Linked DNA regions of Arabidopsis thaliana. The protein of the gene in region 3 binds, or shares a complex with, the protein of the main gene of each other region. Each region holds a gene or a part of one and is shown on either strand. Other genes may lie near its edges.

Region 1 (5,755 bases), on a different chromosome or scaffold from region 3:
CAACAGATGTCAAACCATTGCAACATGATTATCATCAATATCTCCGAACTCTTGGTCTTTTTGTATATCTAACTCGATAGCTATAACGTGGTTTGATGATTTACCGTTGGTTGTTTCATTGAATAATCCGAGGTACTGATCGGAGGAAGCTCCTGGAAGGCCTGCTGTAGGAGAGATAACGAAAGACATGCCATGTGAACCGGACTGTGTATGCTCAGGTACTATTCCAAAGAGGAAGTGGAAGCTGAAAGACGAATCTTTTATGGGAATGGATTCGTTGTTGAAAGTTTGACCGCAGGAATGCTTCTTGGTGTTCGTTAAAATGGTGTCACCAATGGAGTTGTCAGCTGCAGAGCCCTCCAGGGTCCAGTTTCCATTGGAGTTGTAAGTAGATGAAGACAGAGTATAGAGCAGAACAAGAACTATATGCAAGACTTTGAGTTCACTAGGCATGTTAGGATTTTTTTTGTTTTTGCTTATGGGAAGAAATTGATCATATGAGATATTTTTATCATCTCATTGAGAGTTAAGTAAGAGTATAAAAGAATTCCAAACTGCAAAAGTAGGGTCGAACAAAATGGAAACGAACGTTCACATGGATTTCCGCGTTGTTCATATTAAAAATTTATGTATTTACACACACATGGGGCCTAAACCAAGTCGTAAAGCAATTAAGATAATAATCTTCCAATCTTCATTGGATTCAAAGCAATTATCGTGGGATTGGTAGAGCGTGTCCTAATCCTAATATTAACCGCTGACTCTCTGAGCATTAGAAAATATATGGATCAAAATTTCAAAAAGACGGGATTTTTCTATGATCTTAAAACTGTGTGAAAACTGGAAAACATCAAAAAGTACTTTAAAAGCAATAATCGAACAAAGTAAGTTTCACATCCAAAGTTTTGACCACAAAATTTGTATTAAAAATAAGTTTTTGACATGTTTTAGAGTTAGATTCTGATTTTATTTTTTTCTATTGGTCTACATGAAAAAGTAAAGTTATATCACTAACCTATCATCGTTGATCATTATATATGAAAATACTCATGAAAGTTAATATTTTTTAGGTTAACAAGAAAAACAAACAAGGGATCAATCATCTTGTTCAATTCAATATAATTAAGCATTGGGATTTCCAACAGAAAATGTTGAGTAAAACATAGACTAGTGTTGGATATCCAAAATAGAACTCAAACCACATTCACTAATGCCTTATTGATAAAAATAAATTGCTTAGCACTCAGACTGTAATTATGGGAGAAAGAGCTTTGCAGAAGTAGACCAAGTTGCTAATGTTCATACCTCAGGCTGCATTTTCTCCACCTCTTCCCGGATAGACTGGAACAGCGGGGTCGATAGATATCTCTCCCCGAAGCTCGGGAAAACAACCTGAAAAACCGCATTCATAGATTCATTAACAGTTACCTACTTAGAAGATTTAACAATCTAACTAGCCAAGTGACTATATTGTTGATTCTTTGGTTTAGTATTGGATCACAGACTCGGGAGACTTTAATAATCCTCAAATCTATCTTAAGATGAAATCTAAAGCAATCCATCTATATGTTGCACAAAGACCCCTTGCACCACCTTTTTGTTTTCAAGACATAACACATAACTGAAACCGAAAAGACTTACAGCTATGAGTTTTCCAGCATTCTCAGGTCTCTTAGCCACCTTGATTGCAGCAGCAGCTGCAGCTCCAGATGATATACCAACCTGACAAGATTATTACATTCACGTAAGAATCTTGTGTAATTTCCACCTTTCACATGCAACATGACACCACAACATCCGTGTGGTTCCCACTCAGAAATCATAAATACTGCAAAGAACTAACCATCAAGCCTTCCTTAAGAGCTAGTTGCTTTGCGGTTTCTATAGCTTCCTCACTTGAAATCTGGTAAACGCAAAAAGAAGATAGTAATTGATGAAGTTTGAGTCTCAGGAATTGGAAAATTTAAGCAATAAATTGACACAAGAATTGTGGATGTTTTGTGGAAACCAGATAAATTGTATAACCATACAGAATCCAACAAAATAAATCATACCGCTATGACTTCATCCATAATTTTCTGATCCAAATTCTTAGGTATAAATCCAGCTCCAATTCCTTGAATCTTGTGAGGTCCTGTATAAATGCAAGAGAAAGCAAAATACGTGAATATAAGATCATATTTCGAAATCATGGAAACAAAATTACTGATTGATATCTATTGGCAAGCCTTACCCGGTTTGCCACCAGAAAGTATATCGCTTTCGGTGGGTTCTACACCAATAACCTGGTACATGTAAACATCGAATAGTTAACTACGAATTATATTGCTTGAATGAACATACAATACTGTCTAAATAACACCTGAAAATGTACTCCAGCTAAGAATGAAACCATTGAACTTTTGCATCTACCTGCGTTTTGGGATTTTTCTCTTTAATAAATCGACCAACACCAGTGATAGTTCCACCAGTTCCAATTCCTGCAACAAAGATATCCACCTTGCCCTTTGTATCATCCCAGATCTCAGGACCAGTAGTCTCGTAATGAATCTGCGTATATTCAAACTTGAGTTTACAAACGTGACAAGAGAACCTCACAGAAGATCATGCCGATTTCAAAGGATCAGCCACTTCCCAATTTGCTTGTACAGTTTAAGTGAAAACCACTTCAGTTACACACTTGTGGGCATTCTCTAAATACAGATGAGTTTCTGGTTAACTCTAACTTAACATTTCATTTCTCTTCTTATGGTACATGACTAGAGCAAAAACCAAATCATGACACAAATAAGGAAAAATATAAACCACAAACCTTTGGATTTGCAGGGTTGTCAAACTGTTGGAGCATGTATGCATCAGGAGTGTTTTTCAAGATCTCTTCAGCCTTCTGAACCGCTCCAGTCATGCCTTTAGCAGGATCTGTTAATACAAGCTCAGCTCCAAATGCCTTTAAAAGAACCCTTCTTTCCATACTCATGGATGCTGGCATTGTCAAGATAAGTCTATAGCCCCTTGAAGCAGCGATGAATGCTAGGCCAATACCCGTGTTTCCACTTGTAGGTTCCACAAGAACACTCTAGATCAATGCAGTAAGGACATGATTAACCACCAGAAATAACAGACTATAGATTGTACAACTTTATGTGTGTAAAAGCTGGTCTCATCCATTAAACTTTACAAAAGACTGATCAATCTATAATCGATACCTTTCCAGGTGATATAAATCCTTTTTGCTCAGCATCAGTAACCATACTGTACCCAATCCTGAATCCGTGAAACATAAAAGTTAGGACTTGAAGGGACTCAACTAAAAACATACAAACAAGCCACAAAAGACTTAAGCTACAGACCTATCCTTGACACTGCAACATGGCTCCATGATCTCGAGTTTGGCAGCAATATTTGCTACACAACCTTTTGCTATACTGTTCAAGTACACCATAGGAGTTTTCCCAATGAGCTGAATCAAGCCAAGAACAATGAGAGATACGTAAGTAAATTCTGAACTATTTAAAAAGCTAATCAAGTTTCAAATTTTAATGGACAATCACACTTTCGCCAACATTCCCATTAGAGGAAAGCTCAAAAATTTGATCACCAATTTCAATTTCAAATCTAACCTGAGACACATTGTCAGCGATGTTGAGTCCATCAGGTCCAGTCTCGCGCTTAACAGCCTCACACACAACAGACGGATCTCGTTCCGAACCATCAGCAAAACTCCGACTCTGCCTCTTCATCGCTAGAGAGAAATCAGAAGCGGAGGAGAAGGAGAGAGAAGAGATCTCTGGCGAGCATCTGAAACGACGGAGAGTAGAAGAAGAAGAAGAAGAAGTCAACGGATTAAGAAGTAAAGCAGAGGAAGATGTGGCGGCCATGGATGTGTAGCAGCTTCGGTTTCCCAAAAGTGTAGACAAGATTTGAGATGCGAGCTTAGCTTCCCGGTTAAACCTTGAAGCCATGATCATCGCCACCATGATCCTACTTTTCTATTTTCTTGGAATACGACGTCGATTGGATTTTCAGATACGGTCCATTTTTAGACCAAGCTTTCAACTTTATATTAAGTTTCATTTTTATATTTTATACATTTTTTTTTTAATCACCAACCAAGTGAAGTGCACTGACCAAAAGCGAACGTGGAGAATGTGTTCTTATTCGTACCTTCATACCTCTCAAGTGTTGCATGAATCTTTCTGGTTAACTTTTTTTTTTTTAATGTCAAATTCATCGTCTTGGATCCGTTGCCGTTAGATATTCTTGTTCTTGAATTTGACATTGTTTGGTTTTGGTTTGGTCAACAAGGAAATAGTCAGTAACAAAGGAACCAAAAGCTTCTGAGAAAATGTAACTTGAAAAGATTCTTCTTCTTAAATTTGACATTATTTGGTTTTGGTTTGTTCGATAAGGAATCAGCTCATCTTAAGCCCGTATAACTGAGTCAAACAATGGTAGGCGGTAGCAATTAGCCAATTAGGGTTGTCTTAATCCGAGCTACATAAACTCTAACAAAAGCGTTCCAACACTCAAAAAAAAAAAATGTAAAACACCTGAACAAACACATTCACCGTTAAATTTGCACAAAGACAAAAATGGGCCTTAGAGCCGACACTAAAAAGGCCGTTAAGCAATGAATAGCCACATTAATCGTTCCACGCGCATTATTCTCACGGAAATATGCCGTTGTTGTACCTTTTTTTTTTTCTTTCTCGATATTTTCGTCCATTAGTAAGTATCTTCTAAGACTTCTACATCAATAGAACATTAAATTATGATCAATTACTATTTTATTGGGTAACGAGTAACCACATCAATAGAATCTGATTTCTTAACCATTCGAAGTACAAACTGTAAAAGTCTGAGAAAATTGGTTGTTTTTCGTTTGTAGTTATGCAATTTTAAGTAATGTCTGTAAAATACAAAAATTTTGTTATACAATTTTGATATATATATTATGTAAGAGTTTCATGAAATTTATGCGTCAAATTCACTTAAAAAACTATATACCAAAAGTCTTACCATTTTACATTTACTCTATATATTCAATAAAAATATAATTTAAAAGGTATAGAGACAAAAACAACACAGAGAATTCACTTGCAAACAACAAGTGCTTAAACTTTATTTTTATTGATAATAAACTCTTTAACAAGTATTATCTCGGAACTTACTTGACATATTCTACCTGAATGAACAACCCCGACTAAGGAGAATTAAGTTTAATGAACAACCCCTGAATGAACAACCCCGACATTTTCTACCTGAATGAATAATTAAGCCTAATTGTCCTCTATTTCTTATCAGCCGCCCGTGAAGACAAAAAGAACTAACACTAAGAACAATTAAGAATAATTAAGCCTAATTATTCAACTCGACTAAGAACAACCCCGACTAATGCTTTGAAGTTTACAAATTGTACAATGCTTAAAGCCTCTAGAAGCCTAAACCCTAAGATCTCCAAGGGTCTTTGATATCCAACAACTTCCTGAAATCCAACACGTCGGCATCAGCTGGTTGAAATTTGCAACTTCATAATTCATGAATGCATTTTACTCATATTGTTTTTAATCACATTTTTGCTCTAGAATACTTATTACCCGAGAACGCATTTCGTTTATTTTTCGACTATTCAATATGATTTGACGAAACTAAAAAGTGATATAATGTTTGAGTATTCGACTGTTTTTGGCTAAACTAAAATGTGGTTTACAAACGATTGATTAGAGATATTTAGGTTCGTATCTCAACTAAGTGT
Region 2 (5,113 bases), on a different chromosome or scaffold from region 3:
TGAGGAAATCGGCGTGTTTTGTGGCTAAGGCTATAGAACAGAGACGAGATACAGCTGGATCTGAATCGGAATCAGAAGCGACTCCGTCACCGGCGGAAGAGAGTGGAAGCGGAGAAGATAAGGAAGTGGAGATTAGCGCGATAGGAGCAGAGATAAAAGCAGCGATGGAGCAGAGGAAAACGGCGGAGGAAGAGAAAGGGAAGAACGAGTTTCTTAGTGGAGTTGCGGAGGAAGTGAAGGAGATTGAGTGGCCGGCGTTTCAGAAAGTTCTCGGAACTACCGGCGTCGTGCTCGGTGTTATCGCTGGCTCTAGCGTCGTCTTGCTCACTGTCAATTTCCTTTTGGCTGAACTCTCTGATCGAGTGTTCATCGGAAGAGGTGTTCAAGACTTCTTCAGCTGATCCTGTGAATTGAAAATGGTAAAATTTGTGTGTACAATTTTTAGTGATTGCAATGAGAAATCGAAACATTGTTGATTTGTGTAGATGATGATAAAGAGAATTATCGGAATCACTCCTTTTGAGCATTACCTTCTTCTTATCCTAATCTTATATTTAGCCTGAAATATTGACTTGGGTTATGTTGGTTTAGTTTTGATCATGAAACAGTATGATACTTATGAACAAAGTTACATAGCAAATTTAAACTTCATTAACAAGCAAGTGGTTCACAAAAGAAACAGAGAAAATCTAGTTTGACTTTTATTGGCACACAAGAGAAGATACAGATGGAAGCAAAGACGCAATGTAACTAAAGATGAAGAGTCTCTATAGGAGAAACTGAACATCTCTTTTATTTTGGCGTCTCTTAAGAAGAAATGGAGAATGTTCAAGCCTCGAAGGTCATGGCTTCCGCTTCTTTCCTTGTCGCATCGAAAAGTACCGTTGATAGATACCTCTCCCCGAAACTCGGGAATATCGCCTGTAAAATAATTCAGTTGATTTCGTTTACATCAGAATCAGAAAGAAATCCGGGTTATGTAATCAGAGCTTATTGGCTTTGGGGTGATGATAGAATCAAAGAGCTTACCACAAATAGCTTCCCAGCGTTTTCTGGCCTCTGTGCAAGTTTAATTGCTGCAGCAGCTGCTGCACCGGATGATATTCCCACCTACAGTATAGCTTTTGTTTTTAGAAACAGAACGAAGTTGTAATTCTGATGGAGATAGCTTTTTGTTGTGAAATGTGAAACACTTACAAGAAGACCTTCTTTAAGAGCAAGCTGCCTTGCCATGTCAATGGATTCATCACTTGAAACCTGTTGAAAGCGTTACAGGAAAATGGAGAGAGTCAAGTAAGAAATGAAGCTCTCTTGCATTCAATTGTGTTTTGCTATCAGTCGATAATATCGAAAAGCAGTCTTACCTGAACAACTTCGTCAATAAGATCAACATTCAATACACTTGGTATAAAACCAGCTCCTATCCCTTGAATCTTGTGAGGACCTTGATATTTTCAGCAAACATCATGTGTTAGGAAACTCCGAGGATAAAAAATAAGACATGAGGCAAACCGAGAAACGAGGAACATGCATGCATGGTTATCGTAATAAACGCAGGGGGAACCAAAATCACCTGGCTTCCCACCGGATAGAATAGCACTTTCAACTGGCTCCACTCCATACAGCTAACAGAAGAGGAAACAAAATGAGAAACCGTGCAAAGACACACCACTTAGTCACTTAGATAACAAAGCCAGTTGTTCGAAAAGATGGAGCTCTCACCTTGACGTTTGCGTTCTGTTCTTTAAGATACTTCCCAGCACCTGTAATGGTACCACCAGTACCAATCCCAGAAACAAAGCCATCGATTTTGCCACCAGTGCCTTTCCATATCTCAGGTCCCGTAGTCTCATAGTGGATCTGCATTTGACAGTGAAATTCCATCGACTTAATATGGTTCAAAAACAGACAAAAACAGATACACTAAAGCAATAGTAAATAATAAGCATACCTTAGGGTTGGCAGGGTTCTCAAACTGCTGAAGCATGTAACCATTGGGTGTTTTCGCCAAAATCTCTTCCGCCTTTGCGATAGCTCCTTTCATGCCCTTAGCTGGGTCAGTTAAAACCAACTCAACTCCAAAAGCTAAGAGAATGATTCTTCTCTCAGTACTCATAGAAGCTGGCATTGTAATAATAAGCTTGTAGCCTTTGGCAGCTGCCGTGAATGCTAACCCAACTCCAGTGTTTCCACTTGTTGGCTCAATCAGCACACTCTAAAGAACAAACAAAAAGTCAGAAACAATGAAAACAAAAACAAAATAGTGGTTTGAAGATTCAGATAATCGAAACTGACCTCTCCTGGTTTGATAAGACCCTTCTTTTCTGCATCAGAAATCATGCTAAAACCAATCCTGCAGAAATAAACAAAGTACAAGGTCTTCACAAAACCGAAACTCGAAGCGAGAAACAACACATAGTTTCTGGACTAGAGAAGAAACCTGTCTTTGACGCTAGAGCACGGTTCCATCATCTCAAGCTTAGCAGCAACACGACCAACACATCCTTCAGCAACATTGTTCAAATACACCAATGGAGTGTTCCCAATCAACTGCCAAATAGAATCAATCAATACATGAACATGGAACAAAGCTCACTCCTTCGTGAAATGAACAGTGAAAGAACTTGAAAGCCTTACTTCAGTCACATCTTTAGCAATTCTCGAGGCCATGATTCAAGCTTCACTGCTTAAATTCACAAAAAGAGAAAAGTAAGACCAAAGGAATAAATCATCCTCAAACCAAAAACACATCATACAAAATCATCAAACATAAATCTCCAGATGTATGAGCACCAATCCAGTTATACAACACTCTTAACACCAAATCAACAGATTTAACAGCGAAATAAGCTTAAGCCCATACAATTATCCGATCCAAACAAATATAATCGAAACCGGCAGAGGAATAAGCAAGTGAATCAAAAAGTATGGGACGAGGAAGAAGATGATACCTGAATGAGAAAGTCAATAACCTTGACCCGAATCGTTTTGAAGAAAATGGAGAAAATCGGTTGTATGGAATAAAATCTTCGAATGATGAGATATATGATCTCTTTGGTGTCAGTCACATGGCACACGCTATCAATTTAGAAAAACGCGGTGGTTGGTCACCAGAATTACTACTTCTCGGTCTGATTTGGTCATATCCGTATTAAGTCCGGTTAATATTTTCCATAACTGGGGTTTGAACATTCGGTTTCTTTTTTTCAGTTAGTCCGATTTGGAGTTTTGAGTATGGAAAAATAATACTGAATTTATTTGTTCAAACTGTTTTGGAAAAAATATTTCCCTTAATTACGAATATAATTAAAATTTTAAAATTCATTTTATTAGATCTTGGTTAATTCGGTTTAATGCATTAATGAATTTCGGTTTAAGTCGGTTTTCGGTTTTTATGTCCCACCACTATCTACAACCGATGATCAACCTTATCTCCGTATTCACCACAAACAGTCATCACTCTCACTTGACACAAAAACTCTTTTGTCTCCGTCTCTCTGTCTCTCATGGCGACTCTTCCTCTCCCGACTCAAACTTCTACAATCTCTCTCCCTAAACCTTATCTCTCCAATTCCTTCTCCTTCCCACTCCGTAACGCAACACTCTCAACAACAACAAACCGCCGGAACTTTCTCACCACCGGAAGGATCATAGCTCGGGCATATAAAGTGGTGGTAGAGCACGACGGAAAGACGACTGAATTGGAAGTCGAACCAGACGAGACGATTCTATCTAAGGCTCTTGACTCTGGCCTTGACGTTCCCTACGACTGCAATCTCGGTGTTTGTATGACTTGTCCAGCGAAACTCGTGACCGGAACGGTGGATCAAAGTGGTGGGATGCTAAGTGATGATGTGGTTGAACGTGGCTACACGCTTCTATGTGCTTCGTATCCAACTTCTGATTGTCACATTAAGATGATCCCTGAGGAAGAACTCTTGTCTCTCCAGCTCGCCACTGCCAACGACTAATCATCTTCTTGATTTAGACTAAAGAAGTCTTTTTTTTGGTGTAATACGAACACTTTGTAACGAATCTTGCTATGAGACTTCGAAATCTTGATTTCAATGAGCCAATACAAACAGTGATACATAACATAATCACAGTGAAACATTCCTGGTTTAAGATGAATCTATTAAGTACTGAACTAAATTCGTTGATTGAAACATTAGGAAAGTGAATAGATATGTATAATTTAGATTAATAAACACACAAGGGTAGACTAATTCAGAACCAGAAAGAGTGAGAGTGTTAGCTACAAATGATACGATATAAAAAAAGAGAGATTACAACAAAAACGAGGTAGAGACAAAACGTAGACACCAGAGATCAGTGGTTGGTTACTTACCATCTTCTTTTTTCCTTTGTCATTGTCTAATCAGTAGTAAGCATGCTGAATATGGTGGTGGTGGTGCGGGTGAGGATGGTAAACTGGAGGGGGTGGAGCAGCCACCGGACTGCAGTAGGTACCATATGCTGTCGGATAACTGACCGGAGAGGTTTGGTAAGAACCATGAACCGCCTCGGGTGAGTATTGGTATGGAGGGCTCCTGTTGCTGTAGATGGTAGGTGGGGATGTGGTGTATGCTGGTACACCGTATTGAGGTGAGTGACTTTGGGATCTGATGAATGTTGGTGGAGGCGGTGGGAAAGAGGAGACGTAAGCGTTTGTGATACGCCCTGCTTTGGCTGGTGGCATTGGACCGCTGTAGCTTGCTCGGGTTCTCTTGTTGGCGGGAATCACGGCTGGTTTTCTCTTCTCGGTTTTGGTCTTCTCTAGCTGATCCAACCTCTTCTTGAGATTCTCGGGTGGGAATTCTTCCTCGAGTTTGTATTCTTCTATGCATTTTAAGACTGCTCTAAGTGCTGATTGCTCTTTGCGCGCCACAAGATGCTAGAAAAATACACACATACATTGGTAAGCGAGTGCAGAAGAAACAGATCCCTGCAAATGGATCCAGCAAAGAAAACGAGTAACACAAATGGAGGAAAGTACCGCAGATCGGCCAGAATTGTTGGAATCATCAGTGATTAAAGCTGTAGCTTTCTTTGCATCCCTCAGATAAGCTTTGAGCAAAGGAACAGGAGGGAACAAGTGTACAAGACCAACTTC
Region 3 (4,106 bases):
AATATTTTTAGAGATAATATTAAACTTCCTAAACTCTAATATTAACATTTATTAATATTCTTCCAAATTCTTCTAGAATCATATCTTTTTGCCATATCTTGGCTTTGTGATCTCGGTCGATTTTCGGTTCTCTATATTCCAATGGACTCTTTATAATCTCTGTTTCTTTTTTTTAGTTTTTTTTTTTCCTGTGAAACTAATGTTTCTTCTGATTTAGCGATGGTTGATTGTAAGAAAAAACTAGGGTTTTGAATAAGTTTAGAACAAATGAAAACTTCTCTCTATGTTTGAGTTTTATAAGCGACTTTCTTTATTAGAGAAGAAATATCAAAAGTCATTTGCATTGGGAAATGAAAACACTTTAATTACGAAACCAGAACGTCATCAATACTATAGTAATGATGCTTTGTTCTGCCTCGTCCTTTAGTCTTCTTTCTAGTTTACGATGACTCATAATTACTTCTTCTGTGAGATTTTCCCATTTCTCCACCTTCCACGACTCCGGCGACGAAAGTAACCATTAGAAAACTATTGTTGGCGTGAGTTGGTTATACATGGCCCATTTAACAGTCCACTTTAAGGCCCAATTCACAATCCATGTTATTAACAAATATATTAATCCATAAAAGTGTACACATTCTTGATTCGCCTCGAGATAAACTAATCTCTAGTTTCTTCTTAAAGATCGATGAGCTTGATTTCAAGACTTGTTTGATTAGTACATAGTAAAATATTAAGAAATAGACAAGACTTGTTTCATCATCATCAGTTACAAGAAAGAAAGAAATACACATTTGTGTTAAATCACATAATCAGACCACTCGGTTAAATACGATGTCTGGTCCATAGTCAGACAAGGAATCTTATCATGTTTTCTCGGATTCTCTTTCCCACCAATCAACCTCGCCGGATTTCCAACCGCCGTCGTACGCGCCGGCACATCCTTAACCACCACCGACCCTGATCCAATCTTAGCTCCCTCACCGATTGTTATATTCCCCAATATACAACTCCCAGCTCCAATCAACACACCATCACCAATCTTCGGATGCCGATCACCACTCTGTTTCCCTGTTCCTCCCAAGGTCACTCCGTGTAGAATCGAAACATTGTCTCCAACCACCGCCGTCTCTCCGATCACCACGCCCGTCGCATGGTCTAAAAGAATCCCTTTTCCGATCTTCGCTCCGGGATGAATATCGACGGCGAAAGATTCTGATACTCTGTTTTGGATCAATAAAGCTACGATTTTTCTGTTCTGTTTCCAGAGGGTATGAGCTATTCGATGAGCTTGACAAGCGAGGAAGCCTTTGAAGCCCAAGAAGCAATGAACGTAGCTTATACAAGCTGGGTCTCTTTCTTTGACTGCTATAAGATCTTGCTTCGTGGATTCGATGATCTCAGGGCTTTCTTCTAAAACGCTTATGAACAGTTCGAAGAGTGTGTTGCTTGGTAGGTTTAAATTGCTGAGCTTTACGGAGAGGATGTGAGCTAAAGCAGACTCTAAAGATCGATGAGATGTGATCGAAGCGTAGTAGTAGTTTGATAAAATGGGTTCTTGTTTAACATCGGATTTGGCTTCTTCAAGCATCTTGATCCAGACATCATCGTCATCTTCGATTTGGGTGTGGTGAATCTTCCGGTTTACAGAGAAACCGGGTCGAAAGAAATTCTTGATGCAACAGAACCGGGAATCATCGTCTTGGGTATTACCGGTTCGGCATGTGTCTATGCATGTTGCCATGGTTTATGATTTGGAAGAAGAAAGAGTTTGAGATAAAGAAGAGAAGAGAGAATGGTTGTTGAGTGAAGAAGATGAACATAGCTTATATACACAGAGAGAGATGGCGGCGACCTTTGACTCTGACCCAAAAAAATCTCAAAAAGTAATTACAGTTTAATTAGCGCTCTCTAAATATTTTATTCTTTAATTATACACATTTTTCTGCAGATTAAGGAGGTAATGAATTATATAGTAAGTGAGATTAATATATATTTTTTTCCATACACAATTTTATTTTGGAAATGGTTTTATGTTTTTAATTTTATGATTTATTGTCCAGACAATTACGATGTTTACAATTTTGTATTTATTTTTGCATGATTAGTCTGCTTATCTACACATATCTAAGGGTCATTAGCCATCACATGTTTTTAGTGCCACCAACTTTTTCATAACAATAACATCAACTACTTATTATCTAGCTATTTTGTATGATATGTAATATAATTTTTTTTTTTTTGTTGGGTTGTAGAATTTAGAAGGCACTTGTAGTAAAATGGTTATAATTTCCAAATAATGGGGGGAAAAACCAAGAAAATTGGATCTATTATTAAAGTTGCCAAAAGGAGGAGGTTTTCAAAAGGAGGAGGTTTTCAAAGAAAGGTGACGTTAGTAATGACGTAAGTCTAAAGTTACGTGAAGCAGTCGCCCTTTGACTTTAACTCCTTATTTTCAAGGTTGTCTGAATCTAATCATTTTTTCACACTTTAATAATCTAATGCTAATACATGATTAATTTATACATAATTTAACTTGGAACTTTTTTACTCATTAATAATTTGATAACTACGTACGTGTTATTGACTGTTAGTCATAATAGAGTGAGTTTAGTTTACTCTACACACTCCATTTGTGTATATCTTTTTTTCGCGTATGGAAATTGTGAAAGCTACATTATGGTTGAAGATATCTCTATTCAGTACTCAATACTCAATAATGAAACTTGTGTAACTTTTATGATAATCAAATTATTCAATTGGGCAACGTAGATTACGTGACATTGTCATTTGCCTAATATTGTCCTTTGTGCACACCTTTATGTTGATGGATGGATTCAAATAAATAAAATTATCCGTTTTTCTTACTGCAAATAAGTTATCTTATCTTAGTTGGAATTTTGGATGTTTTGAAATGAGAAAACAACAACAATAAAATTCAAAAATATTAAACTTTTTTTTTTAAATGGCAGTAGAATAGTGGTGTCCATTGTTTGAGGACCCAATCTTTCGTTATCATTGTCCCTTATTAGGGTTTCTTTCAATTTTCAACCAGTAGTCAAGTAGATTTGGCTCTTCAAAATCATGAAAACACAAAATACTATTCAGTTAGAGAATTCGATTTGGTTCACAAAGAATATATGAACTTTCCCTTTCGAGTTACACAATTTTTTGGTTTCTAAAATTTATATTGAAAAATGTCGAATATCTCTTAGAATAAATCATATGAATAAATTTTATCTATTTAGCTAAAATATAATTGTGATGTGTTGAAGAATGGAGAATGACATGATGAAGAATGGACACTGTGAAACGTCAGGACACACAAAAAAACAACACAAATAATAAGATTGGAAGAGGATACCAATAGACTGGAACTTTAGTAGCACAATAAGGAGCTAAGATTGAGCATGATGCTTAATGAGGTTAAGTATCTGCTTCCTTGAGTCCTCTATCAGATAAGGGGCACTCGATATGATCCTAAGCTTTTTGATTTGGTACCATCTGCTAACAAAAGCAAAAGCAAAAACATCACCTTTTATGAAACTGAATCGCTGTTGAACCTTAAACATCAATTGATAGACAAAGAGTTTGTCAAAAGATCTTCAGAACCATCCCATTTGATGCACACTATGATCAGAAACAACACATGCATATATACTTCAGACTGAAGATACTATCTACTTTAGGGAAACTCATATTCATCAACACTCTAATGCTTCAACAGGTTTTTTAAACCTGAAAGTAAAATAGCCTCACCATTGCCTAACAAAAAGAACAGTTTTATAAGTTTCACAATTCTAACAAGTCCTAGTGAAACATACGTAATCTATTTCAGGAGCGTGGACATTAACGCACATGATATTTGAACAATTCTTCATTTGTGTTATTGTAGCTTGTTTTAACAGCCACGAATCATGTCTGAATTGATTTAAGAAAGAGCTAGGTACCTGAATTCACACGCGCAGACACACACACACACAATGTATGTAAATGATTGTTCACAAGAGCAGACAAAAACCTCAAAGTCTAACTGGGAAGTTTAGACCGCTTGATCTAATACCAAGGATAGAAAAGCACAATTCTATCAGGTTAGCTAAAGATTC

What was found. Proteins that work in one complex are often made in the same cells at the same time.
Region 1: SERAT2;1 (region 3) and OASC share a complex: the UniProt entries of both Arabidopsis thaliana proteins name them as parts of the cysteine synthase complex.
Region 2: SERAT2;1 (region 3) and OASA1 share a complex: the UniProt entries of both Arabidopsis thaliana proteins name them as parts of the cysteine synthase complex.

The regions. Positions count from the first base shown.
Region 1 is NC_003074.8:22,071,369-22,077,123, forward strand, and holds OASC (O-acetylserine (thiol) lyase), read right to left. Parts: upstream 4,049-5,755; 5' UTR 3,978-4,048; coding exon 3,621-3,977; intron 3,461-3,620; coding exon 3,351-3,460; intron 3,265-3,350; coding exon 3,207-3,264; intron 3,077-3,206; coding exon 2,813-3,076; intron 2,551-2,812; coding exon 2,413-2,550; intron 2,286-2,412; coding exon 2,234-2,285; intron 2,135-2,233; coding exon 2,055-2,134; intron 1,904-2,054; coding exon 1,844-1,903; intron 1,723-1,843; coding exon 1,642-1,722; coding exon of another isoform or gene 1,629-1,641; intron 1,393-1,628; coding exon 1,306-1,392; coding exon of another isoform or gene 1,293-1,305; exon of another isoform or gene 896-1,292; intron 766-895; coding exon 751-765; 3' UTR 580-750; downstream 1-579. Other genes in the region: AT3G59750 (Concanavalin A-like lectin protein kinase family protein), read right to left, coding at 16-453. UniProt on the Arabidopsis thaliana protein: Acts as a cysteine synthase. Plays a role in the sulfide detoxification in mitochondria.
Region 2 is NC_003075.7:8,517,381-8,522,493, forward strand, and holds OASA1 (O-acetylserine (thiol) lyase (OAS-TL)), read right to left. Parts: upstream 3,217-5,113; 5' UTR 2,952-3,216; exon of another isoform or gene 2,757-2,951; intron 2,687-2,756; exon of another isoform or gene 2,684-2,686; 5' UTR 2,671-2,683; coding exon 2,638-2,670; intron 2,551-2,637; coding exon 2,441-2,550; intron 2,354-2,440; coding exon 2,296-2,353; intron 2,216-2,295; coding exon 1,952-2,215; intron 1,861-1,951; coding exon 1,723-1,860; intron 1,626-1,722; coding exon 1,574-1,625; intron 1,445-1,573; coding exon 1,365-1,444; intron 1,258-1,364; coding exon 1,198-1,257; intron 1,111-1,197; coding exon 1,030-1,110; intron 922-1,029; coding exon 829-921; 3' UTR 580-828; downstream 1-579. Other genes in the region: SECE1 (secE/sec61-gamma protein transport protein), read left to right, coding at 1-401; FdC1 (2Fe-2S ferredoxin-like superfamily protein), read left to right, coding at 3,507-3,971; AT4G14900 (FRIGIDA-like protein), read right to left, coding at 4,379-4,894, 4,997-5,113. UniProt on the Arabidopsis thaliana protein: Acts as a major cysteine synthase, probably involved in maintaining organic sulfur level.
Region 3 is NC_003070.9:20,910,016-20,914,121, reverse strand, and holds SERAT2;1 (serine acetyltransferase 2;1), read right to left. Parts: upstream 2,007-4,106; 5' UTR 1,961-2,006; coding exon of another isoform or gene 1,952-1,960; 5' UTR 1,887-1,951; coding exon of another isoform or gene 1,845-1,886; 5' UTR 1,745-1,844; coding exon 800-1,744; 3' UTR 557-799; downstream 1-556. Other genes in the region: AT1G55917 (uncharacterized protein), read left to right, coding at 1,845-1,886, 1,952-1,960, 2,064-2,074, 2,109-2,133, 2,256-2,282, 2,340-2,386, 2,973-2,997. UniProt on the Arabidopsis thaliana protein: Serine acetyltransferase which catalyzes the formation of O-acetyl-L-serine from acetyl-CoA and L-serine. Also displays O-acetylserine (thio1)-lyase activity in vitro. May be involved in detoxification process by mediating the production of glutathione.